Linked DNA regions of Neodiprion lecontei. The protein of the gene in region 3 purifies or fractionates together with the protein of the main gene of each other region. This does not show direct contact. Links are inferred from orthologs where the notes say so. Each region holds a gene or a part of one and is shown on either strand. Other genes may lie near its edges.

What was found.
Region 1: the proteins of intraflagellar transport protein 57 homolog (region 3) and intraflagellar transport protein 22 homolog purify together in Homo sapiens (affinity purification with mass spectrometry; 3 studies listed by BioGRID and IntAct, counting the BioPlex papers as one, with this or other methods). This does not show direct contact. The link is inferred for Neodiprion lecontei from reciprocal best matches to the Homo sapiens genes IFT57 and IFT22.
Region 2: the proteins of intraflagellar transport protein 57 homolog (region 3) and intraflagellar transport protein 80 homolog purify together in Homo sapiens (affinity purification with mass spectrometry; 3 studies listed by BioGRID and IntAct, counting the BioPlex papers as one, with this or other methods). This does not show direct contact. The link is inferred for Neodiprion lecontei from reciprocal best matches to the Homo sapiens genes IFT57 and IFT80.
Region 4: the proteins of intraflagellar transport protein 57 homolog (region 3) and intraflagellar transport protein 74 homolog purify together in Homo sapiens (affinity purification with mass spectrometry; 3 studies listed by BioGRID and IntAct, counting the BioPlex papers as one, with this or other methods). This does not show direct contact. The link is inferred for Neodiprion lecontei from reciprocal best matches to the Homo sapiens genes IFT57 and IFT74.

Annotation. Positions count from the first base shown.
Region 1 is NC_060263.1:3,109,136-3,115,601, forward strand, and holds intraflagellar transport protein 22 homolog, read right to left. Parts: upstream 4,002-6,466; 5' UTR 3,514-4,001; coding exon 3,466-3,513; intron 3,309-3,465; coding exon 3,139-3,308; intron 3,078-3,138; coding exon 2,878-3,077; intron 2,801-2,877; coding exon 2,631-2,800; 3' UTR 2,054-2,630; downstream 1-2,053. Other genes in the region: mediator of RNA polymerase II transcription subunit 15, read left to right, coding at 118-598, 896-1,065, 1,224-1,770, 1,869-1,984; 3'-5' ssDNA/RNA exonuclease TatD, read left to right, coding at 4,499-5,437. UniProt on the Homo sapiens protein: Small GTPase-like component of the intraflagellar transport (IFT) complex B.
Region 2 is NC_060261.1:34,087,308-34,097,396, reverse strand, and holds intraflagellar transport protein 80 homolog, read left to right. Parts: upstream 1-3,367; 5' UTR 3,368-3,514; coding exon 3,515-3,609; intron 3,610-3,793; coding exon 3,794-3,972; intron 3,973-4,030; coding exon 4,031-4,141; intron 4,142-4,362; coding exon 4,363-4,541; intron 4,542-4,673; coding exon 4,674-4,763; intron 4,764-4,842; coding exon 4,843-4,980; intron 4,981-5,073; coding exon 5,074-5,198; intron 5,199-5,310; coding exon 5,311-5,559; intron 5,560-5,671; coding exon 5,672-5,835; intron 5,836-5,903; coding exon 5,904-6,101; intron 6,102-6,175; coding exon 6,176-6,326; intron 6,327-6,427; coding exon 6,428-6,599; intron 6,600-6,632; exon of another isoform or gene 6,633-6,814; coding exon 6,815-6,937; exon of another isoform or gene 6,938-7,103; coding exon 7,104-7,243; exon of another isoform or gene 7,244-7,329; coding exon 7,330-7,468; exon of another isoform or gene 7,469-7,606; coding exon 7,607-7,690; 3' UTR 7,691-7,703; exon of another isoform or gene 7,704-8,613; coding exon of another isoform or gene 8,614-8,733; intron 8,734-8,884; downstream 8,885-10,089. Other genes in the region: lysosome-associated membrane glycoprotein 1, read right to left, coding at 1-123, 296-524, 673-956, 2,420-2,471; bcl-2-related ovarian killer protein, read right to left, coding at 8,614-8,733, 8,885-9,334, 9,398-9,649.
Region 3 is NC_060262.1:42,130,296-42,137,900, forward strand, and holds intraflagellar transport protein 57 homolog, read right to left. Parts: upstream 4,839-7,605; 5' UTR 4,539-4,838; coding exon 4,381-4,538; intron 4,305-4,380; coding exon 4,023-4,304; intron 3,709-4,022; coding exon 3,540-3,708; intron 3,339-3,539; coding exon 3,230-3,338; intron 3,081-3,229; coding exon 2,884-3,080; intron 2,771-2,883; coding exon 2,626-2,770; intron 2,527-2,625; coding exon 2,360-2,526; 3' UTR 1,822-2,359; downstream 1-1,821. UniProt on the Homo sapiens protein: Required for the formation of cilia. Plays an indirect role in sonic hedgehog signaling, cilia being required for all activity of the hedgehog pathway.
Region 4 is NC_060260.1:40,246,410-40,253,718, reverse strand, and holds intraflagellar transport protein 74 homolog, read right to left. Parts: upstream 3,874-7,309; 5' UTR 3,795-3,873; coding exon 3,376-3,794; intron 3,291-3,375; coding exon 1,760-3,290; 3' UTR 1,716-1,759; coding exon of another isoform or gene 1,549-1,715; 3' UTR 1,497-1,548; downstream 1-1,496. Other genes in the region: leucine-rich PPR motif-containing protein, mitochondrial, read left to right, coding at 1-1,186, 1,312-1,465, 1,549-1,715; SLIT-ROBO Rho GTPase-activating protein 1, read left to right, coding at 4,873-4,951. UniProt on the Homo sapiens protein: Component of the intraflagellar transport (IFT) complex B: together with IFT81, forms a tubulin-binding module that specifically mediates transport of tubulin within the cilium. Binds beta-tubulin via its basic region. Required for ciliogenesis.

The DNA.
Region 1 (6,466 bases), on a different chromosome or scaffold from region 3:
AGCTATAGGGGTAGCGTCAGATTGCGTTTGAATACGTGTGCGACGTCGGGCCCTGGTGGGGTAGCACAACCGCAGAGGTTCCTTGTGTAGTGGCGAGACCCACCCTATGATTTACAGTATTCGCAACAAGGGAATTTTCAACCGTCTCAAATGTCGGGACAGAATCAGCAGGGACCTTACAAGAATAATCCAGTGCAAAACTCGCCGCAGTTTAAAGCTGCAAATCCAGTACATCAACAACAACAACAGCAGCAACAACAGCAGCAGCAACAGTCGGCCAGAACAACGCAGGGCTCTCAGCCTCCAAAGGCACAGCCAATTACTCAGACACCACCTCAGCAGCAGCAGCAGCAGCAGCCTACCACTCCGCAAACTCCGCGTCTGAAGCCAATCCTCAAGCAACCGTCATCTACTCCACCAGCAGTTACTAGTGCTCCTGTTGCCGCTAGCAGTGTACCTGCTGCACCAACGCCAGTAGCTCAGCCAACAACGCCACCAACTGCTAATAATAATGAGACTAAGACTGAGGATACGAAAGAGAGTATGGATGTCGACAGTCCGGAACAACCGAAATGGAAACGTGGAAGGGTATCTGGCTGTGAGTATGAGATTGAATTTCTTTTTTCGTTCAGTTCACATTATACAATATCTAAATGCTGGATAAATCAGTTTTCTGTTACTGGTGTAAGAGTTATGAATTGACAATTAATGATGAAAATTCACTGCGCAAATTTGAAAGTTGTACAGTTAGCTGCATACTCCAAAGTTTTAGTTGTCGAGTTGTAGCAGTTGAACAACTCGTGTGAACATTAGGACTGATTGATTGTTATTTTACTGAGACTTTCATCGAATTTACACATAATTTGATATACTCACTTGAAACATGTTCATTAAGATAAGGTAAATAAGAAGCTGAAGCGGCTTAGGATGAATCAACGACTGAGGAAGGCTCTACAGCCTAAAAATGCGATCATGGTATTGAATGAGATGAAGACTGGAGTACAATTCACCTTTCCGGAGTCACAAGCAGCCATGCCGAACTCACTATTCGTTGTGCACGCCGAAGTAAGTTTGCATGTAGAAATCGGCATTTGTCACTGAAAGAAACATCCACTGATATATTATCCAGTTATCATCGGAATATTGGATGCCTGCACGCAAATAATCGCAATTCGTTTTGTTATCCAAAATTTAGTAATAAAATGACGAAATTATACTTACAGATTGACGGGAAGACTTACGTTGGCCAAGGATTGTCTAAGCCACTTGCGCGACAGAATGCTGCTGAGAATGCGTTGAAGTGTTTGCTCCTTGAGAAAATGACAACAGCCACAAGTAAAGCACGAATTGACGCTGAATCGGATGGGCAATCGATACAACCAGAATCAGCCCAACAGATTCCACCTATCAAAGAGGAAGGCAACGAAATGGCAATTTGCCCTCCGGAAACGGCTACTGAAGAACAAGATGAAGTGCCCTGGAGTTCTTTGGCTAGTTTTGCTCTCTACAAGCTGTTTTTGGAGTGGCAAAATCAGGGCACTGTAGTCCCAGTACCAAGACCAGGTGTTTCTACTGGGCGTGGTAAGAAGGAGCCAAAGGCTCCGGTTGAAAAAGATTTACCAATAAATGCGATCAACATTCATCCTGTCATGTTGCTCAATCAAATGAAGCCTGGGTTGACATATGTGGAAATTAATCGTACCGGAAACCCACCAAACACAATGTTTACTTTAGCTGTGGAAATCGATGGAAATGAGTATCCTGGTTCTGGTAAGAAATTTCGTAATTACTGATTTCCCGAGTATTTTGCTATTTTGATGCGATTTGTTTATTTTTGAGGGTGATAACAAATCTATTTCTTTTTACAGCCAAGAATAAAAAGGATGCCAAAAAAATGGCAGCTAAAACTGCCTTGTCCGCGCTTTACGGTTTAACATATCCCGAAGAAACAAAGATGGATCATACAGAAGACATGATGTGTTGAATTCTTTTACAAACATCTTGTTGGGGTGATTCGATTTTCCATTTTACACTTACTCTATTTTTCTTTCGCTTGATATTGACGTTTATGTAGATTGTAGAACAACTCTGTGTTTATTCAAGATCATAGATTGTTGAAATCGTGAGTAGTACAAAGGTATTTTTGTTAATTCCGAATCATCTGTTCAATTGATCAAATTTTATTCTGTTTATTTGCTATTATATTAGCAAATACTTTACTTTTATTTCGTAACCTTAAATTTTAATACAGAACAAAAGTATTGAAATTAGAAATGTATTTTATCGAGTAGGATAATATTACGTACAATGTATAATAATTAATAGCTTAAGGACACCTTATTCTTGCGACGTTCAAGTATAGAATATTATCATTGTGGTGAATCCTGCTTTTTCTTTTACTCACGTTGTTTCCGTTTGAAAACACTCATTTTTACCGCTCATTGACAAAAATAATGTATTAAAAAGTAATTCATTATACTATTAATTACTGTTGACTGTAAATCACATGTTAATGCCAAATACAACTTACCACAATCAGATGTTTCATAATTCGCTTACCTCTACATTCAATTTAGTAAGTCACTTTCAACTATTCAAGTAGTAATACTAAGTTGAGTTTAAATTTTTCTTTAAGCGGCAAACAATATATTATCCCGCATAAGACTCATCTCTTCCTGATCTGTGTGCTCTTGCAACTTGCTGATCAGAGTTCCCAAAAACGATTGAAAATCAACTTTCAATTTATTGGCACCTTCTTCAGTATTACAGCTTACTTGCGATATTCTAGACAACTTGGGCGCTGTAATAAAACAGCAAGTTATAATTAATACATAGTTCATGTGAGGAGAAAAATAAAATCACTATATCATTTCTTACACATCTTTTTAGGAATTTCGACACTGATATTATCTTGATCGTGATGAAAGATGACACAATTTGTTGGACCAAGCCCAGTTTGATTAACGAAATAATCGTACAATTGTTCTAGCTCACGAACATAGTCCTGTGATTTACCGTTGTGTACAAAAATCACACCATGACTTTTGTCTCTTACAGCTGGCCAACAGGTCTCGAATCTAAAAGAGATGCAAAGTCATTGACGTAGACGTTGAATCACAGCGATATTGGTTAATTTACCTGTGATCGCCGCTGCAATCCCACAATTCTATTTCAGCTTTGACAAATTTATTCCTGACATTGATGCTTTGTATTTCAAATTCAAGTATTCGAACACCTTTGGTAGGCCTGTGTTCTGATGAAATTTCTGTTGCATCCGCAAGAAAATTTGATATCGTAGTCTTGCCGCTCTGCAAAATATATGAACCATAAATATTGAAATTACAACAATTTTTCTGACTACTAAAAATATCTACGTACATAATATGAAGGCTAAAGCAAAATTTCAAATAATTGTACTGCAAAATTATAAACACGTGCTGTACAGATTTTGTTTGAAAAACTCACTCCGATAGGTCCCACTACTATAATTTTCAATTGCTCGTCGTTACTCATCGCTCAAGAATTGCCTCAGGCTTTCTGTGTCCATACGGTACGTGTATACGTTAGTATTCTATTGCCATGGTAACCAGCAAGGGGCAACAGTTGCCCGCACAATATACATTTCACTACGAATGTCATTTTTCCTTGATATTTTTTCATAAACAGCATTTGTCGCCGATCAATCAATCTTAAAATTTTTCGATTGATGTATTTCGTGTAAGGAAATTTGAACTAATACCAATAATATGTACAGGAAGAGGGACAGCTATTCATTTATTCTCGCTCGAAAATTCTGTGAACCTAATCCTTATGTTATTCCGGTACAACGGAAAAGGTACGCGACCTCTTGGGAGAATTAATCGAAGAATTAGACATCTGAAGCGTGGTTTAATGAACGTCAATCGTGACCCTTGTCAAGGGGATTTATCTAGAGATAAAAATAGCACTCGAGCGGCGCCTGTGCGTCACAAATCAGTCCAATTCGTTAAGCTTCATCCGCAGCAAAGGCAGTCAACGGCAAAGTAGAAACACTGCATACCATTGGTCGAGGAGGTTCGAACGAAGCTTTCGGACCAATCAAAACTGCGAGCGATTTCGGTCGCGAGTGAATGGTTCATTGGGTACCGGCTTTGAGCCAATGAAAGACAAGCGCAGGGGTTGATCACACACACGCACGTAGAGGGGCATATGATCGTGTGCAATCCACAACACTGGTTACAAATGATACACGGTAGAGAAAGCATTAAGCAACGTGTCTGGGAATTAGAGATTACCTCATTGTGGTCTGATCTTTGTTCGTAACAAAAATATTGTAGTAAAAAACTTGACTTTACAGCTGTGATTATCGGTTCGTCAATATATCAAATGCAAGCTAACGTGTTCCGGTAATAACAATAATCATAATAACCGTAGTGAATTGAAAATTTAAATCGGTCCAATTATTGTTAATTCCTTAATTTGCACGTAAAAAAAAATATATATACATAAGTAAAATAGCATGGCCGAAAATGCCAGTGGATCCTGCACGGAGTCGCCAAAGGCTTCCTCAGCGGCGATGACACAATGCTACGAGAATTACATACTGGTTGACGTTGGCGCTAATCTAACAAATAAAAAGTACAGTCGTGACTTAGACAGCGTTATACAGCGGGCAAAGGATTCCGGTGTCAAGAAGATCATGGTCACTGGAGCGAGCATCAGGTCGAGCAAGGAGGCGCTGAGATTGACGAGAATATACCCAGGCACCTTGTACTCAACGGCAGGAGTTCATCCTCACGACGCCAAGTCCTGGGAGGATGACGAGACGTTGCAAGAGCTCGAGAGTATCGCGAGTAATCCGGAGTGTGTCGCAATCGGGGAATGCGGCCTGGACTACAACCGCGACTTCTCTGACCCTGAAACGCAGCGCAATGTATTTCACAAGCAAATCGAACTTGCCTGCCAGCTCAACAAACCATTGATAATTCATGAACGAAGCGCCCAGAGCGATGTACTGGAAGTTCTAAGCCATTACTCGAACCGGTTACCCCCTGTTCTTGTTCACTGTTTCACTGGTACGGCGGAAGAGGCCCAGCTCTACCTGGACCAAGGATTTTACCTCGGCATCACCGGCTATCTCTGTAAGGACAAATCGGACAGCGGCGTCAGGCAGCTTTTGGAAGGAGGACAAGCTCTTCTGGACAGAATCCTTGTTGAAACGGATGCTCCTTTTATGTACCCAAATACAAGGGCCAGCAAACTACCATCTCACGTTAAAGACGCCTTGACTGAGCGCTCCATGACCTTCCTTCATCGGTACTGCACATTTCAACGTAACGAGCCATGTGCCTTGCCTGCGATAGTTGAAATGGTTGCCGCATTCATGCGCAAGTCGCCGGAGGAAGTTGCCCTAGCCACTGCTTTCAATGGTTTGAAATTATTCGGACTCAATCAATGATGATTTATGTCCTGTTTTACTCGTTGCTCAGATTTTCTTCAAAGGGCAGAAAAATGGTGCTAGGAATACGGTGCTCCGAAATGTATTTTTCCTTGTATCAATAGGCAGCTTTTAATCTGCTTCTACAAAAGCGGCCAATTTATTTCCTATCGTATTTATTTATGATTTTTATTTATGCATTCACTCATTCGATACTCTTCAACTGTACGGTTGATCAATCCGTTACGAAATAAACTTTAGACTTTGACTATTTGAGATATTGCAAGACTATTATATTCTCCGCAATAATGATTATATTTGATAAATATTTTCAAAGAAACTAAATTTTTTTTATTATCGCATGAAAAAAAAAAAAAAAAAAACTGCATTTAACTCGCTTCTAAATTCTCTCATTATTCGTAAAGCCAGATAGGAGTCCAATTCTTTTTTTTTTTTTATAATGATGCAGATTTTGACACTTGGCTTGTACGTATGTTTTACGCTTTTAACCATTTACAATATGCTATTTTTATCAATCGACAAACTTATCGAGTAGCAATAGAATGACGATTATATTCCTGTTGATATATTATATATTTTGATATAATAAACTGTTATACATCAGCATCTTACTTCTTCACTGGAACAGATTATTTTCGTTCGTTGTATATTCCTTCAAGCATAATATTCCTTCCTTTCAAACCTTACATCTGTGCGATTATGTATCTCATTTTCCCATTTTCGCTTTTAGATACAGTACCATGAAGATATCTCATTTCATTTGGCAGAAATTATGCAACAATATTTGTTATCAATAAATACTTTTATTTACATTCTCTATAACTAAGATGAAAACTCATTTTGGTGTAAACAAATTAGACGTAGCAAAAGTAAAATAAAATCTTTCTTTACGAGCAGAAGCAACTGGAGTATCTCATTTACGTTTCTAAACACAGTTCAGAGTTTTCGAAACCTACATCCGGTAATAGCGTCAGTTCATTTTGATTCTGTTATTGAATAAAATTGAATGTTAATAGAAACTCATGCTAC
Region 2 (10,089 bases), on a different chromosome or scaffold from region 3:
TTTCGCCTACAGTTTTATTATCTTCTTTTGTTAGGTTCAAAGTTTGGATCTTCAGGCAACGGTAAGAGTTGGAGAGTCCTGTCGTAAACTGATTGCTCCTATGCTCAAAACTCATCGAAGAGTCTGTAAATCAGTAAACAGCTATTATAAATCGTATGATTTTGACCTACCTGTAACATTTTTCCACATTATTGATGTAAATTTTGTTGCCTTTAAAGTCTCAATATCTATCAATAAGAAACTAAATTTATCTCTCCTAAACGTATGAATAGACAGAAAAAGATAACCAACTCACTGGTAAGGTAGGGAAAGTTTTCAGGTGCAAGATCTACTTGCAAATCGTGAAGACTATATTGATTTTTTGTTATATTCTTTCTGAAATGAAGGGTCAGATTATTTTGAGTGGTACTGTTGGGAGTTGTGAGCCATGAAATCGTAATATTCTGTTCAATGTCTTTTGAAGCACCGCATACGCCTTTGACTTGAGTTTCATTAACAGGTAGATCCAGTACAAGAAAGTCACTCTGTAAAAATATAATTTACGTATTATAGACAAATTGTAGTAAGGATTAGGTTGAAAGAATAATTTCATCATAACACATGGTCTACTGATCTGTGAATACTATGCTTCATTTTGATCAATATCTGTTTCTATCTGAGATTAGCACAGACCTTGTGATCGGTTGTGATGTATGTAACATTAAACTGAACAGCCATCTTTACTATAATACAAGTTTCGTTAGTCTCATTGACGATCCATTTTCCTATTTCTGGAGTTGGCACAGGTGTAGGTGTGGTCGTTGGTGTAGGCATAACTGAAGTTGTTTCGGTTGGAATTGGTGTAACCGATGATGAGAAAATTGTAGTTCCATTGGTAGGTTGATTTGTGTTTTCAGTAGAGCTGGCCACGAGGCTGTTCGTGTCAATAGAACTACTTGTTGGAACAGTTTCTGCACCTGAGAAAATTAAAACTGAATTGAGTTACAAATAAGTATGGGTTTTTTCTGTGACTGATTTGTGTTCAATTTTACCTAACTTACATATCTTTACCTTATAAAATTTTGTTGTAAGAAATACAGGTTGAGGATCGTTTATTTTATAGTAAAACATACATACTTTGTCAATAAAATGCAGATTATGAACAATCAAATTGTTGGTAGTTGAATGTTGGCTGGGATTTATATGTCTGTTGTGGTCTTTAGTCATCATTTATTTTCAAGAATGGCTTGACCTTTAGAGGCCGACCTGACTCTTTTTGGAACCAGCATAACTACGAGACTCCACGGGAGGTATTAACTATTTACATACATAAAACATGCCTCTAAAAAATATCGAATTTCAAGAGAAAAATACCAGTCCTCTAAAGGTTAAGAAAGGATTCATTTCATCTTGCAAATAAGAACTGACTATGTATACTGGCCTGTTGAGAGCAGAATAGCTCGCTCTTTGTTTTAGAGGATTCAATATCACTAAGGAAGTTCTGGTTTCACATATTGCTATCACTTGTTTCAGATAAGCAACTGACTTGACTCACAGTGTATAATGTACTGTACTTAATGACCTGAAGTATTAATATGAAATTGTTTATGTAGATATGCATGTAATGCGTGCATAAAAAAATGTGATGAATAAATAGCTTTATCCATAATTCATTGGGATGTTTTCAAGACATAAGTCAACAGTATCCATTATATTTACATTGAAGGTTATCATATTGTAAGTATATCCACTGTTAACAGTGAAATTTGATCTGCAGACCTCACAGTGTCTCTCAACCAGACTTTCAAATACTTAAATTTGTGTAAGCATACTTTTGATATTGGATTGTTCTTTCGATTTGAAACCGATTTGGACTGTCCTTAGACTTCAGGGTATAGTTAATATCTTATTGTTCAAAACTGATTGGGCAAACATCATACAATAAAAAATATCATGCTCCAACTTGGAAAAGATAAATACTATTAATCACATCAGACATTTTAAAATGTTGAAGTAAATATTCTCTTTGTTAATGATCGATTTATGTGAAAAGGAGATTAACAAACTAATTCAGCATTCTGCCAAAGTTGAGGGGAAAAAAGTTATTTGTAATCTTGAATACGTAAAGAATTGATATTGAGCAAAGATGTGTAGCAATATTCAGATTAGCAGAAGTTGACAATGTTGTTTTTCCAAAGAAATATTTTAAACAAGACGGAGTAAAGTACAGTCATATAGATGGACATAGCTCTGAATCAGTATTCAGAGATTGGAAATTAGTAATTGTACAAGATGGCATAAATTCATCACGGCTAACTCTTGTGTGAGCTGTCACATCAAACAATAATGCAACGTCACGAAACGATAACATCGATCATCTGCCATTGCAAGGATTTGTAAAGAACTCGGAAATCCTTCTGAAATAAAATTCCGACATTACCTGAATGCAGTACTGCCACCGAGCAGAGAAGAAACAAGGCGGTTTGGAACATTTCTAAATACAACGATAATAAATTTCCAGGAACTATTTACTTCAGCACTGATATTCACTCGAATATCTTATAAAATGCAAATCTCAAACAATGCGGAACTTTCCGAACAAGTTCAACCATAGGTACTCGAATGGCGTAAACTCGGTAAACTGCAAAATAAAGTTGACTATGAAGAAAAAACCAGTCTCCACAGCTTACGGATTTATGTCCCCAAACTGATCAGTTTTTACTGTAGTATATACATATAGGTATGTGACTAATAACGGCTGTGACGATCGTTCCAGGCCTGTGACGTCCTAACGAACACTGTCGGACACGTCCAACAGTTAGACTCCGAAATATGTCGTGAAATTACATAGACGCACAATCTGTAGTTTTCCGTTGTTAGCTAAATTTTTATAGACAGCAAAATGCTGCTGTAGTATTTTGACTAATAGGAATGCCAATTCGGCAGAGAAGCGCTACCCTAGAGTCGGCCTTACAGACCTGACTTTAGCGTTACCCACTAATCTAATAGAGATCTGTGGCATTATTACGCATTCTGATTGTTTGACTACATTTTGCAACCCAATCAGAATGCTTAGGTGGTGGAAAATGTGGAAAATGAACATCCGTAATAAGCACCCAGATATGCGTGGAATGCTAATTATTTATTTTCTTGGCATTCCTATTAGTCAAGAACTAGGCAGCTAAATACATGCGTTACTGTTACTTGCGTGGATCAGAGCATAAACCATGCACGCATTGTACAAAAAATTCAAGTTTTCTCATTAAATCGAGTTTATTATGTCAATAAATTTCGTGACGTCACTAACTGGCGGCAGTAAGCTGTCGCGCGATTTCGTAACGCGGTTGCCAGTACTTGCAGTACTGCCAGTATATTTTGGAATACACCCACTGTGAAGTTGGTTGTCATGACAACGTACCCGCGTAATGGCAACGCAACGTTGAAAATTACAATTAACTGAAACGTCAAAGATCGCAATACTTACACTTTGCCTCATTCTGTCATTTTGGTCACGGGTGAGATATTATCCAGAGCAATGCGATTTAAAATATCATTACGAAATACCAATGGACATAAAGGTTTAGTCACGTGTGTAGCTTGGAACTCTACTGAAGAAATATATTCTTGTGGGTATGCATACAAACACACAGTCCAAAACGACGTTTTATTTTCCATTGTGAATGTACTTATTCATGTATATAATATATTCCCAAACGCAAATACATACACACGTGCATACATTCCCTATTAAAAATAATATAGTTTTTCAAATTCAGACAAAGTACCATTTTAACATATTTCCACAAACTTGCAGTGAAGACCATATCTTGTTATGCTGGCGACTGGAAGGTGGCACAGTGCATTCATCAATAATTACAACTTTTCCATCTGAATTCTGCCCAACGGATATGCAATGGCATCCTCGGCCTATGCAGCCGAGTATGTCTTCAAAAAAGCAATCTTTCGATATCCTCTTAATTACAACAGCTGATGGTAATGCAACTATCTTCAATAGACTTAATTGTAGAATAAAAGTTAATTCTGTTGACAGGTAAATTTCATTTGATTAACAAAAATGGACGAATAGAGAAAAGCGTCGAGGCTCACAAGGGAGCTACACTCGTCGGCCAATGGAACAACGACGGTTCTGCCTTGATGACGAGTAAGGTCACTTACAAATTCAAGTATACAAAATGATTCAGTGAGAATAAAATATTCAGTGACTTTGTTTTTGTTAACTTCAAACTGCACACGTTTTTAATAGGACTGCCATATCTAAGATAATCGTTTGCTTAAATCACTGAAACAGCCGGGCACACAATGTTTTCTGTAACAATAGTCCTATGCGTAGTTCTAAAACTTATCCTCAATAATGAATTACAGCAGGAGAAGATGGGCTTGTGAAGATATGGTCACGCAGCGGTATGCTTCGATCTACAGTGGCTAGAGGCAGACAACCAGCTTTAAGTGCTGCATGGAGTCCGGACTGTTCTTCAATTCTATATGCACTGGGTGCGCACCTCTTGGTTCAATTTTTCAACACAAATGCTAAACCTCATAAGGTAGTGCTTCTATTACTAGTGGTTCTATTACTAACCACTATAAACTGTTTGGAGTCAGCTGCGGCCACAGTAGGGTATATTCTCAGTTGAGTACTAAATAATTGAATGGGCATTTCTTAAATTTACTGATAGTGGCATGGACATGATGGACTGATTCTAGCTGTTGCATGGAGCCACAAACACGGGCTTATAGTATCTGCTGGTGAAGACTGTCGATATAAGGTAATTATATTAAAATTATGCAAGTAGGTTTCATGTATAATTTATGGAAAATTTCATTATTTTACCAACTTTCTAATAGGTTTGGGACTCTACAGGTAACCAATTATACTGCAGTAGTGTGACGGAGCATCCAATTGTATCACTTAGTTGGTGTGCCAGCGGTGATTACTTTGCTGTCGGATCCTTTAATACAGTCCGATTGTGTGATAAAACTGGAGTATGTTATTCAATTTGGTCATATCATAATTATACTAGCATTTAGTTGACAGAAAAATAATGCGTTTGTTTCCAAATGTTTTTATCTTTCAAGTGGTCCCACGCTTTGGAGAAAGTCAACACTGGAAGTATTTATTCCATAGCATGGTCAAGTGATAGTACACAGGTAGCTATGGCATGTGGAGGTGGTGGAGTTCTTACTGCACATGTTATTGATAGGTATAAAAATGTTTCACATACTTGTACTACAAGTCCAGTGCACTTGACCTTCGAAAATTTTTTTGATATTTAATAAATTGATCACTAGCATAATTTCAATTTGTTGAATCAGGCGACTAGAGTGGAGCAACTATGAGGCAACTCTTGTTCGACGTAAGACGATTGAAGTCAGAGAAGTTGGTAGCGAGCGACATGAAACTCTTGAAATATCAGATCGAGTAGTTAAGATGGAATTTGGATTTGGTCACTTAGTCGTCATCACACCATCCCAGTGTCATGTTTATGCAACTATCAACTGGAATACCCCAGCTATATTCGATTTAAAGAACGGTTCTGTTTCTTCTGTAATTTTAGCTGAAAAGTATGTGCAAAAATATGAATAATAACATCAAATTAGTGCACAGAAAACATGCAGTCCATAAATCTTTTCTAAGGCTATCACAATTAATAAGTCATTTTTATTATAATTTTAGACACTTCTTACTTGTGGAATGGAATGTTACTACCTTGTATAGTTATCAGGGTCGCTTATTGGGTATTCCACGTTGGAAAGGCATGACCCAGGAACCCATTCATACTTCGTGCATCGCTCTCTGTTCTGACACGCTCGTTATTCGAGATCAGAGTAATAATAAATGTGAGTAATTGACTTGATGTACCTTTAATGTAGCAATGCAGTTGCCAATGATGATGCATATTTTTCAGTACTGCACGTTTTAGAAGTGTCTAGTAATAAACCAATTATGGAAGGGCAACCCCACACCCATCTCCAAGGAGTTTCTCAGCTTGCATTGAATCATGTTGGTAGTGTTACTGAGCGACAACTAGCAGTCATTGATGTTAATAGAGACTTGTTTCTAATATCAATTCGAACTAGTGGTTTTGGAAGAGTTTGCAAGATTGGTATGCACTTTGAATCAGCCACATAATACTCAAAACAGCTTAAAATTTGAATTATTACTCAAGTATCTTTACAGCTGTTATGGCTCAAAGTATTCAATGGGCTACAGATGCCAATATCTTAGTAGCGATGTTAGATGTCACCCTTTCTGTTTGGCTATGCCCAAGTTGCGTGCATTACAGTGATAAAAAAATGATTCGAAAAACAAGAATCGATAAAAACAACAGGTAAAAACAATAATGTAACCCATGTAACAAATTAGAGTTACAACACAAGTCCTTCATTTGTAATACGTGTATGTAACTTTAATGACTTTGTGAATCGGTAGCGAATTTGGAAAGCAACCAGATATAGTGTGTGTTCAGGGAGGATTAGTTACTGTCAGGCGAGGAGATGGTGCTCTGGTTACATCTGCCTTTTATACTTTCTTTACGAGTTTGCACCAGCATATAATAAATAATAGATGGCAAGATGCACTTTCCTTGTGTCGAATTGCACAGGTAAATATCTTGTTTAAATTAAATAATCAATTATAATGGTTTCATTCAGTCTTTAGCAGTTTGATCTAGAACATTTTTACAGACAATCGCATTAATCATTACAGAAACCTTGATTTTTATAGTATATGTTGTATGACAAAATTTTACATACTAAAAGTATATGACTATTTATATTTATATGCAACACAGCTTACAAGATATTTATTTTTACTTAGAATGATATACTGTGGACTTCTATGGCAGTTATGGCAACAGATGCCAAAGAGTTGAGTGCTGCAGAAGAGGCATATGCTGCTATAGGCAGATTTGATAAGGTTGATTACATTCAGTACATTAAGGTGAGAAAACCACAACTGTAACTTATGAGCAATCAGATATTGCGATTATACTCTTTCAAATAATATACCTAAGACGTATACATGGTAGTTGAAAAATAACATTTCACATCATGCTTATTAAAAGAGGATCCAACCACACTGTCGGTAACAATTAAATTTTTGACAGCTCTTGCCAAATAAAATCGAAAAACTGGCTGGAATGACTTTATTGGCAGGTGATTTGTTGGCTGCAGAAGGAATCCTCCTGCAAAATGGCTTAGTTGTTGAAGCGATTCATGCCAATATCAAAATATATAACTGGAACAGGTATATTCATGATAGGTTATTGTTCTGCGAATTTTAATACTAAATATCTAATCAATAAATACAGCTGATTTACGCTTTCATGATAGGGCATTGGAGCTCGCAACCAGGCATAAGAAAGAGTTGGATACGGTACTACAGGCTCGCAAAAAGTATCTTCGTATTCTAAATAAACAAGAAACCAATCAATTGTATTTAAGTCTGACGGTGAATACATTGAATGAGCAGGTGAGGATTATTTGTTCTATATTAGTCCGTCCATTCAACATTGAAAATACTCGTGATATTCATTTATCATGCACTATTTTTCTCATTCTTAACCAGCTCATGTGTCAATAATGAAATTTTTTTTTAATGGGTGGCTAGGAAGTTCACTTAATGTCCGAACCAACTGAAGAGCCGGAAAAGCTTGACAACGAATCTGAGAAGTTGAACTTCTTGGAATTGTAATTCACAATTTCAGGTCAGTGTACTACATATCACGAATTATCAGAGCATTGTAATAAAGCAGCAATAGAAGTGACGTGAAAGTGTCTCTTTGAAAGCACTGCTAAAGCACTAACAATATGTAGGTATTTCAGAAAATTTTTTCGCAGATTGAGAGACTTTATAAGAATTTTCCAGGACATGCTGTTTGATGTAATGTAATCTTCAGAGAAAAATTTGCTACCAGATTATGGGAGAAATGTAATACTTAACTCAGTGTCGTAACATAGGCACAATAGGCATGATTTCATCCCCAGAAGCTATGCATTTCTTATGGAAGGAAAAAAAATTTTGACTGTGAAAGATTAATGTGACCTCTGGTTGATTATCTCATCATTTCTGAGTTGCTCGAAAAGTATTTAATTTTTTTGAAAACCCCTTATGGCTGATAAATGTGTATATGAGCATATTACAGTTCTCTAATTCTTTCTGAATAACTTTTAGTATTTCTGATATACCAAACTTTTTCACATATTTCAGTGACATTCCGAAAACGATTTTATCAGTGAAAGAAAAGAGTAAAACCAACCAAATTAAATTATAATTATGGACTTATTTTGCAATAATTATAATATTATACATCTGTTGTTCAATGTAGGCTAGTTGTCACGAATAAAGTATTCTTATAATACTAACTGAGACCGAGCCATGTTATACGTCACTGTATATTATTGGCAACAATTGGCGTAAGTTTGATACCTACTAGAACATTATGAATCTGGTTTAATTTTGGTATACTACAATTAATGCACAAAGTGTTAAAAATTGTCTTCTACTGTATCTATTAACAATGTCAATATATTAAATGTAGGTATCTTATGAAAAGATTTCGCTGATGATATACCTCTTACCTTCCTCAATTGTATAAAAATATCCTAAATAAGTTTTTATGAATATAGAAATATCACAGCTATGAATATGATAGTCAATAAAAGGAAAAGTGGAAGCCCGTAAACCTGCCAAATAGTCGGTTTTACCACAGGCCTATATCGAGTTGTCAGGGCACTCTGAAATCATTCAAATTTTGGTTTGCCTGTTACATTTAGTTCATTGTATATGGTATTCTTAAAAGTCATTGTGCACCAGTTGCTCTGGTTAATTAACATAAAATTTACTGATCATCATTCGATGAGCAGTTCCTTGATATTAACTATTTACCCATCCTCCGTTAGCTTGAATCCATGCAGCCAAATCATCCTCGAGAACTTCCATCATTCCATGTTGGATAGCTGGGAGATACTCTGGTTTTCCTTGGCGAACACAGTCCACTGCTATTCCACCAGCAACTGCATACAAAGCAATTATCTTGCTCCAAGTCATTTCCCCGTTTCTCAACATTTCCCTTGATACATCAGTCAACACATCACTGGCAGCTTGCTCCGAACTGAAGGTACTACATCCCACTTGCCGTCCGATTTTTGTGAAAAGATGAGGATGCATTTTCTCTAACTCTGCACCAATGCTTGTGAGCTCCGGATAAACTTCTCCAACTACTGTACCACCTGGAAGTATTATTTCGCTTCTCAATCTTTTTAATCCCAATTTTCGGTGAAAGATTCCTGAACGCTTCAATCTATTGCGAATGTATTGGCCACACAAGGAAGTTCCCTGAAATAAAATATGCCAACTGTCAGAAGACAATTATTTTAAATATTCCATGTTTTTACATACCTGAGACACTGCAATTTTCACAGATGCAGATACTGATCTCCAGCCAATGGTGTGCGATAACTTTCTAGATACCACGTCACTAACATTGCTGAATCTTCGCCGTGCTGAACCAACTACGTGAAAAGACGTTGATTCGTGGGTAGATCCGAGTCCGAGCAAATTGGAATGCAAAGATGCTGCCAAACTGCTCCTTCGATGAATAGCCTTTGCTCCACCATCTTGGCTACGGCTACTCACGACAATCCCTGACATGGTAAGTAAGAAAGTATCTTCCCATTCAGGTAACAACTTATTATGTTGTCCGCTATTGAACAAGTTTTACAGGTTTAAAAAAGATATAATATTTGAATAATGTCGATTAATTAGACTATCAACAAAGACTCTTGCGAATACCATACTATTAATTTGTTATTTTTAGAAATTTCCTCCTCTTTATTTCATGCACAGCAAAGTATGCTCTCCTAAATCACTTTGATGCTTTAATGATACACACAGATATGTAGCAGGCACGACTTCTGAGCTGTTCAGCAGGAACTGATGATTCTCATGCGGAGCACGTTATGCGTTGTTGATCCGAAGACCTTCTTCAGACTACCAGTGAAAAACAAGTAGTCTGTAATTATATGCATGAGCTAACAGGGCCTTTGGCTTAGGAACACGGATGAATATTGCAAAAGGAAGCAAAACATTCA
Region 3 (7,605 bases):
TATACCAATTCAAATTGTTTTGTGTTGACGAAAAATTTATATCGATCGTTTCTCAGCCGTGCAGCGAAGAGAAAGCTGTATCATTGCGACACATACATACATGTGAATAGGTACGTATTATTTTATGCGTATGTGGCAGAAACTGTGATGTTATAGTTCACAGCGAAACGGAAAAGTGAAAAGTTTCACATCGAATGATCTTCAACGCAATAACTAGAAAATTCCCATACGTGTAAACGCTGCAAGCGTGAGGCATCCAGCGTGTTATTTGTCGTGAATGTTACGACTCTCGCGGTAAAATAATTGACAAGAAAAAAACGCGGTTTTCTTAATTTACTGCACCGTCGAGAACTGGATAAATATATAGTGATAAAAAAAATAAAAAAAAACTTCAATCAGAATACACGGAACAGCGCAAGAGCGCGTGACGTCCCATATCAGACAGTTGCGCGCTTTAACATAACAAGTTCATTATACACAAACCATAATCGCTTAGATATGATTAAATTTTAATTTATAATGAACCTGCCAAGGAATGGTATACTTTATATTCAACTGTAAGAACCGCTTTTAAAATCTTATCGTTAGTATTATTACAGTCTAATGTCCATCCACCATTATTTTCGATTGTCGATCATTTATTACCTGCGGCGATAGTTGGACCGCGTAAATCTTGAGGGAGGAAACGGTAGCTTCGATTAATCCGAATTACAATTGGACGAGGAAAACCACGGGGAAGCTTTATTGCTGTAGTATAATTATCTACACGTCGTTTTACGGTTTTCGCACACTCGATTTATAAGCACCTCCAAAGGATAGTTGCAAAACAGCGACAAGAGAAATGTATCTGTACACTCGGAAACCGCATCACTGAATGCTTTCGTAGCTCGTAAAAGGAATACGAGAATTAGTGATTTACACTGCTTACGAGCGGGAGAGAGCGTGGAGAGAGTGGGAAGTTGAGGAGGGTGACTTATGTCTGAATAATATCTCAGGACCAAAATCAAACTGCAGTAACTAAAAAAATTTCGTTTCTTCGACACTTCCGTCAAAACTTATGTAGTACCATTTAATACTTTAATTTGAACATATATTCGTAAGTAAACTTTTTTCCAAATGTTACGGTTTTGGTTTCGGCATGCGATATGTATCTATACGGCGATACTTTGATGGGTGATTGACTGCTCGATCTCAGCACGTTCCCGCGTTTATGTAATCAAAAATATAAAAAAACTGTAAACCCAAGAGACTGCAGAAAAAAAAACAATAATTCAATCAGAACTATGAGTGAAAAAAAAAAAACAGAGAAAACAAAGAAAATGAATGCCCAGTTACGAATGTGTTAATATGGCGATTTACAAAAAACGTAAAGAACTTTTTTAAAATACAAAGTTTTGCAGGAATTATGGCTATTACACAGTATCGGAAGCTGTTTAGGGTTTGGTATCTTCTAAATAGTTACACTCTAAATACGAAAACTAATAATTTTTGTGACAAGTGCGCATAAAATAAGGATGTCTTGACGAGCGTAAAACACTAGTGCGTAGAAATTGACTTTTAAGCACTAGTTTCATCAAAATTTTAGTATATTCTATCCACTGCTACTAGACGCAACGGAATAAAATTTGGTAAAAGATAGGTAATCATAGATTTATAACTAAATTTAAAACTGCGAGTTCGGAACTTTGTCATAATTTAATTTACAAACCTAGTTTCGATGCTTGATGCATGGCTATAGTGTTTCACAGCAAAAACTTCGTTCATAACTCCTACAAGTGATCGGTTATCGTATAACTTTTATGTAAAATATGAGCGGCGAAAGACTGAGAATCATTAATTTAATAAATACATTTATGTCAAAGGAATGATAACAATTTATGCTGACTAGTTTATAAGTTGCGATGTGTCTTATTACTAACCGTGCAATGATCTTTACCTAGACACGGTTGTAGTTTCCGTTTATAGTTATAGCTTATCAACTATTTCGGTGGGATCTCAGGTACTGATAACGGTGGTGAACAAGGCACTATGATAGCGTCAAGGAAACGTCTTTCGGATTAATTAATAGTGGCTATGATCAATTTGTTTTCCGTTCTTTTTCACCCAGAGATTCAGCTACCGAAAAAATTTTCTTCAGACATATTATGGAACGAAACTAAATACTCAATAAGAGAAAATGAATAATATGCAGATATGCTGTTTGTAGTACTTCCATTTCTAATACCAAGTATGAAAAACCTAGGTAATAATCCAAAGACAGTAATATTAACTGATCGGATAGAAAAGTTCCCCCGCAAATCTTTCAGTCGCACACGAAAAATATGCACGAACTTTAGGTATCTATGACCTTGAATTTTCCTCAAATCATCAACGAGCTGCTTGTACTGTTCATATCTTCCTGAAGTTGAGTACGATCACGAACTCTGGTGCACATCAAGCTGTATTCAAGAACACCGATTCTGACGTTCATCTCCGAGATTTCGTTCTTCATTTTTGTAATCGTTTTTTTGATATTTATCAAGGGAGCTGCAGGAAGAAAGTTGAAAAATTTTTTTACATCCACACTCAACGATCCATAATTAACTAATTCAAATTGTTTAGTATTGAACTGCAATTGTTACTTACTTCCATCTGTCATGCTTGATCCTCTCTCATCCATTTCTCGCTTAACTTGCTCTAATTCGTCAGTTAATTTATTTAGAGTTCTCGTTCTCTCAGTCACTCCACCACTGACGTCTCTGTACTGTTCCTTCACTTTCGACATTTCCTCCTGATCACAGAGACAATGCCAAATGATGAAATTCAGTAAATACCTCTGTAGTCTTTATGGCTTGTGTGAACTTTATCACATTGTCTTAGATCACAGTAAATCCATTTGCTTACTTGCAATGTTTGAAATTCGTTTAGGACAGGCTCCAGTTGTCTGTTTACATACATTTCTCGTGTTTTTATCTTATCCAACGTACTTGCTATGTCGGAATGCAACCTCTCTAATTGGCTCTTTGTATTGCCAAGATTCGCATAAATGTTTGACCGATGTTGTTTCATTTGATCCAAGTGAGCTCTCCAGTCTCGGGAATCTGTAGATGATGAACTTTTTTTATTACGAAAGTTTTATATATTTCTGATACAGAAATTGAAATAAAAAACGTTTAACAACCAGGAAAGGTTTTGAGAAAAACCACGTCGCTATACATGAAATCAATCAATCAATTATTTGAATACTTACCAGTTTTTACAGTTACCTTCAGCTGAGGTAAGACTCTCTCTAATTCGAGTTTCCATTCTTCCATGTCTGTTTTAGACTCAAGGATATTCTCCGGCTTCTGAATGTCAAGCTACAAAATATTGTATTAAAAAAATTAGGATTTTTTTGCATTCAATTTTCCATGCACTTTTATTTTTTTTTAATCATAGCATTTTCGGTGAAATCATTTGAGAGGTAACAGAATGCATTTACAGTTTTTCTGTCGACCATCTAAATTGACGCTAATGTACAAATAAAAATTTGTCAAAGTCTGAATTAGTTTACTAATTACCATATTTTGTCCATATAATTTAGTTATGTCATCTACATGTAAAACGTCATCCTCGTCCTCCTCCTCATACTCAGCCAACATTTCCTCCTCAACTTTTTCCAGTATCAACTCCGCATCGTCATCTTCTATCTCAGGTTCCGGTGTAGGATCTTCTGGGGGTATTTCAACTCTGCATCAATAAAGACACTTGAAATATGCGATCTACTTTCATCCGTAGTGTTTCAAGGGAAACCACTTTGGGCTTTCGATTTGGCATGTTGACTATCATTCGTGATAACATTACATAGAATAAATGGAAGCATATAATTTAACGTATTTGTGAAATCTGAAAATTACAAAACGAAAGGCAGATCTTTGCAGGTTTGATTTTAAACTAGAGCACCCAAATACAAAATGATTAAGACCATGAATCAAACATTAACAATGCCCTTTGAAATAATAATGTAGGTATAATTCAAGCCTGTTCATATCATTCCTGCTTACTTTTTCCATTTGAAATTGACAATTCTGATAGCCTGATCAGCGAGGCAGTCCAATACATAAATAGCATGCTCGCCAGCGCCCTGCTTTAATTTGTTTGGAGGAAATTCGACGGCAACGTCGATAGCTCTGAGGTGATCGAGAATCATGGATATAGTTGAGTTTGGATCATCGTATTCCTGCGGCTGTTCAAAACTCGTTCCACTTTTCCTTATCAACCAGGCAGCAAGCGAAGTAAACATGTAAAACTGCTCCCCCGAATTGGTCGCAACAACAAAGTAATGCCTGTTGAATTAATATCGCATGGTGAAAAAATTACGCAGGCAAATGAGTAGGATCCTAGTTAGTAAGAAGACCGTACCTGTTTATAGGTTTCATTTTCATATTTTGTACGAATTCAGTGTCGTAATTGAGGATTTTCAACTTATCAATTAAATCCTCCATGCGTACGCTGGGCGCGTAAGCTGCGCTAGGCGCCGTCGCATCTTCAATTACGATCTTTGGTGTTTCCCGAAACATTTTCACCTGTTATCAAAATATGCGGACGTTCCTGATCGTTTTGCTTTAACCAAGTCCGTGGCTTTATCTGGCTGTCAGTAAATGTATGACAAGTAAACAAACTCGCGTCATTTGAGGATCGGGATCGCAACTTCGGTGGCTCTCTTTAGCATGAAGATAATGAAGTTCGCAACGTAATCCGCGTCGGTAAGACTCCTTTCTGTCGGATTTGTCGGTTTCACGCTTACCACACAAAATATCACTGACAGTGGAGCGCGTACGATTGCTTAGAGCATACACCATGGAGAAAGCTTGGCAGCGGAAAAAGCATGGAAAGTGTCCCCGAGTGCGAAAGAGAGGAAAGCTAAGACTCCATGTGTAACGTCCGACCGGAACGTCCGTATGTTTTATCGATTATTATTACTGCATGTTACTTTTATCAACTAACCAAACTCGAAGTACGAGAATCTTGTAACCATAAGAAATTAAAACAACTGTCTAACTATTTGGAATACCCCTAGATGGAAATAACTATGAAATTCACTAGCCAAGGCTTACAAACCATGTTACGAGATCTTCGTACTACAGAGAACTATAATATTATTATACGTTATTATATATCACTATCACATTAACACTATAATTAACTAACACAATTATACCCAATTATTATATAGCACTCAGCAATGCCATTTGTGCATTCGGAGCTGAGAGCTATACTTAAGCAACATACGCTTTACTATATAGCCTGGAGTATAGAAGACTGTAAAACCATAGATAAATGCATAACCAATATAATGTAAAGATAGCACTGCTGCAATAACCCATAAAACCAGAGACTGCAAAACCATCAAACCGTGAATGCTAATTACCCAGCATGAACTATACCTTCTTCCGCAACGCCGTATTGTAGGCAACACGCGCAACGTTTTGAAGGCAATGCAGATCTCCAATGTGGAGCCATACAGAGCCTTACCTAGAGAATACATTAGGAAACTTACCGACGAAACGAAAACGTTCTAGAAGCTTCCAAGCCGATTTATATCAATATAAGAATTAACAACTACAGAAGGGAATCATATACAAAAGCACACATGTAAACCTGCTCTAAAGCTATGAATCATCAAATTACTAGGTATTCTAAACCTGTTAAGATAGTTATAACACAAACAACTAAAGATATTCGCAGCAGCGTGATTCTAATAATGTTAAACAAATAACAAACTATGTTCATAAACAATTGCTATTGCACTCCAGGTTAACAACGACAGTAGTCGACTTTAATACATATGCAATTCTATATAGATACAACTATAAAACTAACAACGACAGTAGTCGACTATAATACATATACAATTCTATATAGATATAACTAATAAACTAACAAACGACAGGTAACCAAAATGAAATATGGGCTTTGTAACGAGCAAGATAGCAAAAACAGTAAGAGATAGACAGGTAGTTAAGTGGCTGAGGGGCGCCAGAAAGGGGGCTGGCGCCACAAAGGGGGCTGGCGCCACAAAGGGGGACTGGCGACACAACGAAAAGCTCACGCAGTTCGGAGAACTACGGAACCAAGTCCACGCACCTACACCACCGCACCAAGCAGCGATATACCATACGTAAAAACCTACAATATAGTAATAGCTAAAGAAATAAGATCACAGGCGTGCATGCGGCGAAGATGTCGTGCCCTAATTAGAATTCCTAGAAAAGAGGGGAGGTGCGCAAAGGCGACCAAAAAACTAGAGAGGGGGATCGTTCTGCGCAACGATCGACCCCTATAAAAACGGCGACCGATCACTCGATCGCTCTCTTGTGTTTCTACCTCCAGATTCGTCATCTAGTTCCGGTACAGTCTCGCGGTAAAATCCTTTAGCCTTTTGCATTAAAACTTTCATACAACGTTACTCTGCCCAAAAGTTCAGCGAGCTTCAACTCCATTTTTACTAAGTCTAAGATCTTACACTGTGTAACTCTGCGTTTGTGACTATTAAATATCAAACTTATAAAATAAACCAAGTTAGTCAAAATATCCAAATATTAAAGTCGGTTATTTCGCTAAAAACCTCTCACCAATCTACAAGTCATCGCATCCAGAATACTCTCAAAAAGGTAAGCCAAATTAAATCTTTTATCCAACAATTTCTCCCTCTTCGGTTCGTTCGACTAGAGCGACAGAATGCCCGTTGTCCGGTGTATTTCAATACTTAATCGGTAATTGGTGACCCAAACTACTGATGTGAGTCTGGCTGTAACTGTGTGTGAATGTTTCCGGTGTCTAACATCTGGAGATTTCCACTAGGTACCGTTCCGACGTCACACCATGTATGCGTTGAGCTCCGGCAAATGCTGCGGTGACCAATCAGGAGCCCGGCGCAAGTCCGGCAGCGGCAACCTCCGGCACGCCGCACCGCACTGCGTTGAGATCAAAATATTTTAGTTTTTCCGCAGTGTTACGTGCCAGCCGGTATCCACGGCGGCGCCCTCCCTACGCCCTACCTGACCAGCGTGCAGTTACCATAAGAGAGCCTTACGTGCTCTTACCGATAGTCGTAGATTAATACTAACACACATAGTCACCATCATAACGTCCAAATTCTTATATCGATAGTCCTCATACGCTAGATTAACCGTTATTTTATCAGTCATATTCATAACATACATGGTATATATTTTTTCCCATTTAACCGTTATACCTTTCAACATTAGCTTTCACATAAAACCTTTGATTTACGATCTCAACCGTAATAACCCAAAGTAATAAACACCTGCAGTAATTAAGATAATCGAGTAGACTAAACACCGGAAACATGGGAAGAGAAATCACGGATAATTCACAAATAAAGAAACCCCTATTCCCAGAATCCAGGATAGTGTAACGTCCGACCGGAACGTCCGTATGTTTTATCGATTATTATTACTGCATGTTACTTTTATCAACTAACCAAACTCGAAGTACGAGAATCTTGTAACCATAAGAAATTAAAACGACTGTCTAACTATTTGGAATACCCCTAGATGGAAATAACTATGAAATTCACTAGCCAAGGCTTACAAACCATGTTACGAGATCTTCGTACTACAG
Region 4 (7,309 bases), on a different chromosome or scaffold from region 3:
AAACCTGAAGGATGCCATAGCTCTAACAGAAAAAATCAAGGTAAAACTTGATCTGTACATTGTCATAGAAAGACTTGTCAGTGGATGTAGAGTGACAGAAAGTTTTAATGAAACAGTACAATTTTTGAGAAACATCAACACGGATAGTGATCAGAATGGAAAATTCTTTGAGGACCTAATGGCAAATGAAAGAATAAAAGCAAGCAATGAGGAACTTGCTTCTCTTATTTTTGCCTTTGACAAACACAATCTCAAGATTTCTAAAACAGTTGCAGACGCTTTGGAGCTAAGAATATTGCAATTAGCGGAACCTGAGAGGTCAATGAAGACGCTCAAAAAATTAGTCACTGCTGAAACAAGTACAAATGATGAAATTCCGGATGTATGGATACCTCACCCTGAATTAATGAGTCTTGAACAACTGGAGAATCATCTCATTGACCTAACGGCTAAGGGTATGAATACACGAGGTACTCTGCGAAGACTCCTTCAAGCTTATTGTAGAAAAAATAATTTTAAGAAAGCTGAGGAAACTGCAGAATTGTTTAAGGAGAAGGGATTTGAATGGACGTCCGGAATGATTTCCAGCATGTTTTCCTTATATGTCACAAATAATATGATCGATAAGGCTGATGTATATTTCAGAGATCTGAAGACAAATCACAAAGACTTTATAATCGATGATTACAAGGTAATTGATTATGCTACAGCTCTTGTAAAGAATAAAAAATTCGAAAAAGGTCTGGAAGTACTCAGAGAACAGGAAAATGTTACGAGTGGACCCAAAACTATCAGAAACTGCTGGAGACTTTTGAATGCAGTTGCTGCAGATGGAAATCTGGAAGCCACAAAAAAAACGTTGGATATCTTACTCGAAAAAGGGTATTGCGAAGTGAGCATTCATGTCCTCAGTCCATTGGTCAGGACAAATTTATTAAATGGTAACTTGGAAGAAGCTATTAAACAATTCAAAGAGTGTGCACTTGTGTATAAACTGACACCTCTGAAACAAGAACTGCTACGTGCTCTTGTAGATATTTCTACCGACAACCCTGATGCTCAAAAACAGTTGACAGATGTACTAATGGTGATAAAAAGTATTTCTGGAGAAGCAGCAGGAAACTCTCATTTGTTCACGGCATTAGCGGCAAGGAATAAACACAAGGAACTCCAATCATTTATTAAAGTAAGACTAATCTGAATTTTAAAAAAAAATTGTGACCTTCTAATCGCTGTTGCTATAACACGAATCATTTCTCGTAGTAATTCAATTACCTTTCTTGTACTAAAATAACTCGATTTATTTTTTAGATGCCAGCTGTGAACCAAAAAACAATGGAAGTCAGTGCAAAAAACTTGATGACTGAGCAAAATTTAACAGCCTTACAAGGGATTTTGAAAGCGTGTAGAAATGTGATGAAGCTGGACACACGGATTATTTACGATCTAATCTTGACATTGTGCAGTAAGTAAATTGAGAAATAATTCAAGACAGATTTTTCGATCACAATTTATGACTTTAATCTTTATTTTATTGTGGTCATACAGGTAGGTCTGGTGATTACAAAACAGCGCTAGAAATATGGGATAGAATGCAGGCAGAGGACATTATTCCACTACCAAAATTTACTGAAAATTTAATAAACTTCTTGAACTCGCAGAAAGTTTCATTACCAGACGAATTACAAGCAAAGATGAAAAGAGAGAAACGCTAACAATATTTGAAATTATCTTAAATAGTAAAAATATTGTACATAAACTAATGTATTCCTTTGACGCTTTCCCTTAGTTTAACATTGTACCGATCCACCAGTTCGAGTGCTCTGCTCTTAATTGCGTTATAATCCACTCGTTCGCGTTCTTCCCTGATGAATTTCTGTAATGTTTCATTATTTTGTTTCAATTTCTCAAGTTTATCCTCCAGCGAGCTTATCTGTACATAAGTTTCATTTTTGTCTAGCTGTGACTTGATCTCCTCGTACTCTCCACGTACAGAAGCCAGTTCCTGTTTGATGGACGGCTCGCGCTCACGAAGTTTTGCCCGTTCTGCGATCATCTCTTCTCGCTTTTGTTCAAACCTTGCCTTCAATCCATCCAAATCTTCAAGGACAAGCAACTCACTTTGTTTTTTACCTATTTTTTCTTTCAGTTCCGTTAACTCGACTTTCAGCCTTTTTTCGAGACTCTGCATTTTTATTAAATTCTGCTGCAGCCTTGTGTGCTCGCTGCTCAATCCTTCGATAGTTTGGTCGACATTAATAGGAACGTCCGGGTCTTCGCTGATGGCATGTTGGATGTTCAGGATTGCCAACTCATCACCAGGAGTTAAGTGAGTATCGCTAGAGACACAGTTTGATATTTGTGTCAAATGCTCGACAATTGTAGTCTCTAGTTTATCAAGTCTCTCAAGCTCTTCATGTTTGCTCCTGTCAAAGGTGGCCATGAATTGCTCCATTGCCTCTTCTCGTTTTCTCATCTCTTTGTACTTTACATGCCTTGCTGACTGGCACTCTTCGAGATCTGTTTCCAACTGTTCTAGCTCATGCTCAGCCTCAGCTATACGTCGTTTAAGTTCAGCTGTTTGCCTCTCAGCTGCAGCGACATCTGCATTATCCTGCTTTACCTTGGCCAGGAGTTGAATTCGCTCTTCTTCTGGCGACAGTCTATTCTTCTCTTCTTCTCGTAGTTTATCGCGTTTTCCTTCAACCTCTGAAATCTTAACAAGAAGTTTGACAGCCTCCTGCTTAGCCTGTGAAAGTGCAATCTGCTCTTCCATGGTCGATTTTTCGTTAGATAGTCGATCCAGCTCTGTTTGCATAACATCTATGCTACTCTGCAGTTCAATTTTTTGTTTTGTCAAATCGTCGTACTTAGCACGCTGCTCAATAGTCATTCCTTCGACTATTCTCTCTGCATTCTTCTTTTCCAATTCTACTTCCCTCTCGATGGCCCGAAGCTCTTGTTCTTTTTGCTGACGATGAGCAAACAAATTTTCTATCTCAGCCATAGTTTGGTCATTTTTCACGGCCAAAGATTTAGCCTCCATTTCCAGAGAGTTTTTGTCAGGGTCTAAAGTCATTTTATCAACAACAATGTTATAGTCGGCCAGTTGCCCCTGCAATTCTGTAAGCTCCGCTGCCAATTCTTTGGCTCGTTTATCGTAGTGAAGAAAAGTTGCTCTTTCTCTACTCTGACTGTCGACTTGCCGCGTTATGACTGCAATTTCTTGTGTAAGTTCTCGTATCTTCAATTGTAGGAGACCTTCGTAATATCTTCGATCCTGGACTTGTCTGCAACATTTAAAGCAACGATCTAAAGTATATCACGATATTCGCTGTGTTCTTAATAACTTATTATACCGTCAAAAATCCTTGCCTGGTCATGGGCAGTCCCCTGTTAGTCCCAGGCCGAAGTCCGGCGATTCCTTGCTGCGTAATCGGTCTGTCGACTAGATTGACCTGAGCTGCAGATGGAAGGCCAGTTCCAAGTCTTCCTTGGACAGCAAAAGATCCACCGCTGGTAGCGCTGACCCGGGAGCTAGCGGAGTTAAGTACTCTAGCAGAGAATGCCGAAGCAGAAGGTGGTCGGCCTACGACGCTTCTACCAGGAGTTGCAGCAGTTGCTGCGCGATAATTACTCGATACAGGCATTTCCTGGCTGTCCATTTTGGCCCCTCTCCTCGAAGAAGGTCTCTCGATTCTACTCTGCGGCCTGGAAACGTCTTCCTGCTCTCTTCTCCAACGCGTCAGTGGTCTCTCAGCACCTCTACCAGTTGTAGGTCTATCAAGGTCCATGATTAGCAATTCAGTAAAATTGATTCTTAAGAAGGATGAGATTTGCAGGTGTAGAACTTGACAATTGCCTGGTAGTCATATGCTCACCAGGTATGAACGAATTCTTATTTGTGTACAAATTAGCGTTGCCATGTAAACCCCGCAACAACGTCATGATGTAAAAGTGCGAAGTTTCCACCCTTTCAAATGTGCACCAAATTATCTCAAATGCGATTGGTTGAAAATCCAAGATGGCCGTCATATGTTCTGGGGAAACGGTATTTCATTGGAACACAACCTCCCCTTCCACGTCATGTCATAACTCCGCTAGCAGCTTGTCGACAGTGTTCTTTGTTATCGGCAAAATGGTACCACCTTGGTTTCCCTGGCACCCAACAGGTGGCCGGGTAGCATTAGTCCACGGAGAAAGGTGGTGCACGCGTTTCGAGCAGTCGACTCTGCGTAGTCAACAGTTGCTAAGCAACAAAGCGACGCGGCGGTTCCCCTAAGTTGAATTAATACATTATATCCGAGTCCAGGAATATCCTCGAAGTGGCTACCTACGACGGCTGCACTATTACCAGTAACGACAGTATACCTACGAACGTCGGTCGCATGGCCGTCAGTGGTGCCACTTTCCATTCGACTTTTCCCTCAACGGCGACCGGAACAGAACTTTAAAAACAATTGACCAACGCGTTGCTGCGCGGCGTAACTGTAAGACAAGTGCCTCGTATGCACGTTTGCATGTGTTTGTTATGTGTTGATTGTGTGTTGTGCGTGGACGCGGTACCGAGCGCGCAGTTTGCATACGGTAGAAATAGAGTTAAAGAAAATTCCAACGGTTGCCAGCAAGCAGTGCGTATATAATTTCGAATCTCTACCTGGTTTCTTAAACCGGTTTTGTCAACCGATGAACCTTACTGATCGCCTGTGCCAAAGAATGCTTTCAAATCTGTGACAAGTGGATTGTTTATATCTTCATATTTTTTGTTTACGTATTTCACGTATGTGTACGGATATTGCCAGAGGTTTGCTCACGTAACATCGACGAGCTGAAGTCGGAAGTTTTCGAAGATTTCACGATCACTTGGTTATTATGGACGAGGAGGAGATCGACGGTATCAAATCGCCGATCAAACGGCTTGGATCGACAAGGAAGCTACTCGTTTTTAACAGTAAGTGATAAAATATCACACAGCGCTGAAACAACATCGTAGCCGAAAGGACAACGAAATATGCATTCAACGTCTTTCCGCTGTCATTTGGCTCCGGTGATGTTTTGTCCGTCGGGAAATTTTATGTGTGCCTGATTGTGCGAGTCAACCACAAATTTACGCTGCACAAACGTAATTTTGCATAATTTTTAATTACTATTTATATTCGTATAAATGACATTGCAAACCTGTCCATGTTTATACGATCGTGAGTTGAGAAAGAAAACTCAACATATTCCCAAGAATACGTAGCAATAAAGAAACCGTTTATTTACATTGGTATTGTCTGACGTATTGTCACGTTGTAGCGATTCGCATACCTCACGTATGACTGTAATTACGTAAACATTTGCAATGAAAACTTTTTGTCGTTGTACAGAATTCTCGCCTCTTCTGTTTTCTTCTCATATAGGTATAACAGGTCTATATTTTTACTGACGATCAGCTAAATATCGCCATTGTCAAGAACAACGCCGATCGAATAAACTGACAAATGAAATGTAACGAAATTCGAATTTTTCGGGCGCAGCTTTTTTTCATACGTAGATAAAACGAGTCCGAAATTAATGTTTCGAAAGCATGTAGGCACATTGATATCTCACACTTGAAGATAGATAGGTGTACACATACATGCATTTAATAATTGCATTATCATCACACATTCAGTTACTCCACAACTCCTTGTACGTAATTTTAATAATATATACAGCATGTATCAAACTACAAGTAATTTACACACCGCATAACTTATACATACAACGTGGCATATGTTTATACCCTGGTTTATACTTTCGCTCTGGACTTGCGACACGCAAGATTAACAAGCCGCAGCAGTTGCACACTAACCGCGTCAGCCAATGCAGCAGCAACAATTACCTTTGAAATGCACTTTTATTATTGACCAATTAATCAGGGATAGCTTCTGATTCGAGAAAGACTGCAAAAGAGCTATACAGTCCAAAGATATACCGAAAGAATCGGAAAGGATACTAATATAGGATGAAAAAATTGGAAAAACCTTGTTGAGTCAATTTCCGTTATAGGTTGCTGGTAAAGCTTAGGCTGTCTTCCAAGTGTCTCAAACGGAAAAGATTTCCCATTGTACACCTGCACGGGTGTGCAGTGGTAGATGTACATGCCTATTGTCCAGACTTATATATATATATGACCCTAGGATAGGTAGGTATATACATAATAGGTTTGATGGCGTCGGGGACACGCAGCGGATTGTCGAATGACGCGCCGGAAAGAGCAGATGCTGCGCGGGATTTTTCCCCTCCTCATCATCCTCCTCGATTTCAAATGAAAGGCAAACGGGCTACATCTACAATCTACATACCACGTATTGCAACAAAGAGATGAGAGGTTCGCGTTAACGTTACTTTGGTTCAGATAAACAAAGCGCCTAAGTTCGGTTCCTTCTCGAGCGGGAGTTTAACGCTAGCGTGGACGTCTTGCGACGCCAGCCGGTTAGATCTGTAGCGTAATATCTTCCGACTCGGTAAATATGATCACGAGAAAGGGTTTTAATTTCTTTTTTATGAAATTGCTTTCTTTTTTCTTATTTTTATTTATTTATTTATGTCGACATACATGACAGGTATACTGTATTGAGATTGTCGTCTTGCAATGCGTCATCTGGTGGAAAAAAATCAAACTAATGCAACCAGGCTGAAAGCTGCAACCGTTGACAGTGTTTTTTCGCGTGTGGATAGTAGAACTGGTGTATTATTGATTACATTTCATTAATTTATGTGACGTGAGTAGTTTGAAAGCTCAAGAATTACGATTTGCCGCCATTGAAATTAAAAAGTTAGGTTATGTGGTGATAAAATGGCGCCGACAACCAGATTCTGACGTTCGGAGGAAAATTTCCAATAAAATATTCAGGGAATGAACTTTCTTGTTCCTGCAGGATACTAATCAGCGTAGCGGGTATAAACTTATCTCCGCAATACCGTTCGAAGGTGCATATTTTAATCCCGACAATCCCGTTGAAAGGAATCGGTTCTCTTCTTTGTAAAGTTCGTTATTCTCGCCGGGTTTCCACGAGCCCATCCGATCCGATCCGGTCGCAACCGAGCCGAGCCGAACCGACCGACCGACGGATTAAATTTTACTCTTTCTCGATCCCCAGCCGAGTTCGGAGAGCGTCTGTTTGTACACGGCATAAATCCTCCTCAGCTTACAATCATATCCGTCATGCATTTGATCACATCTCCGGTATACATATGAAACCTCTCAACGAAATACGGAGGCTGCATATCTCACCGGTTCGTAAATCGGACATATTGTTATCGTTGCTTATTTATTTATTTA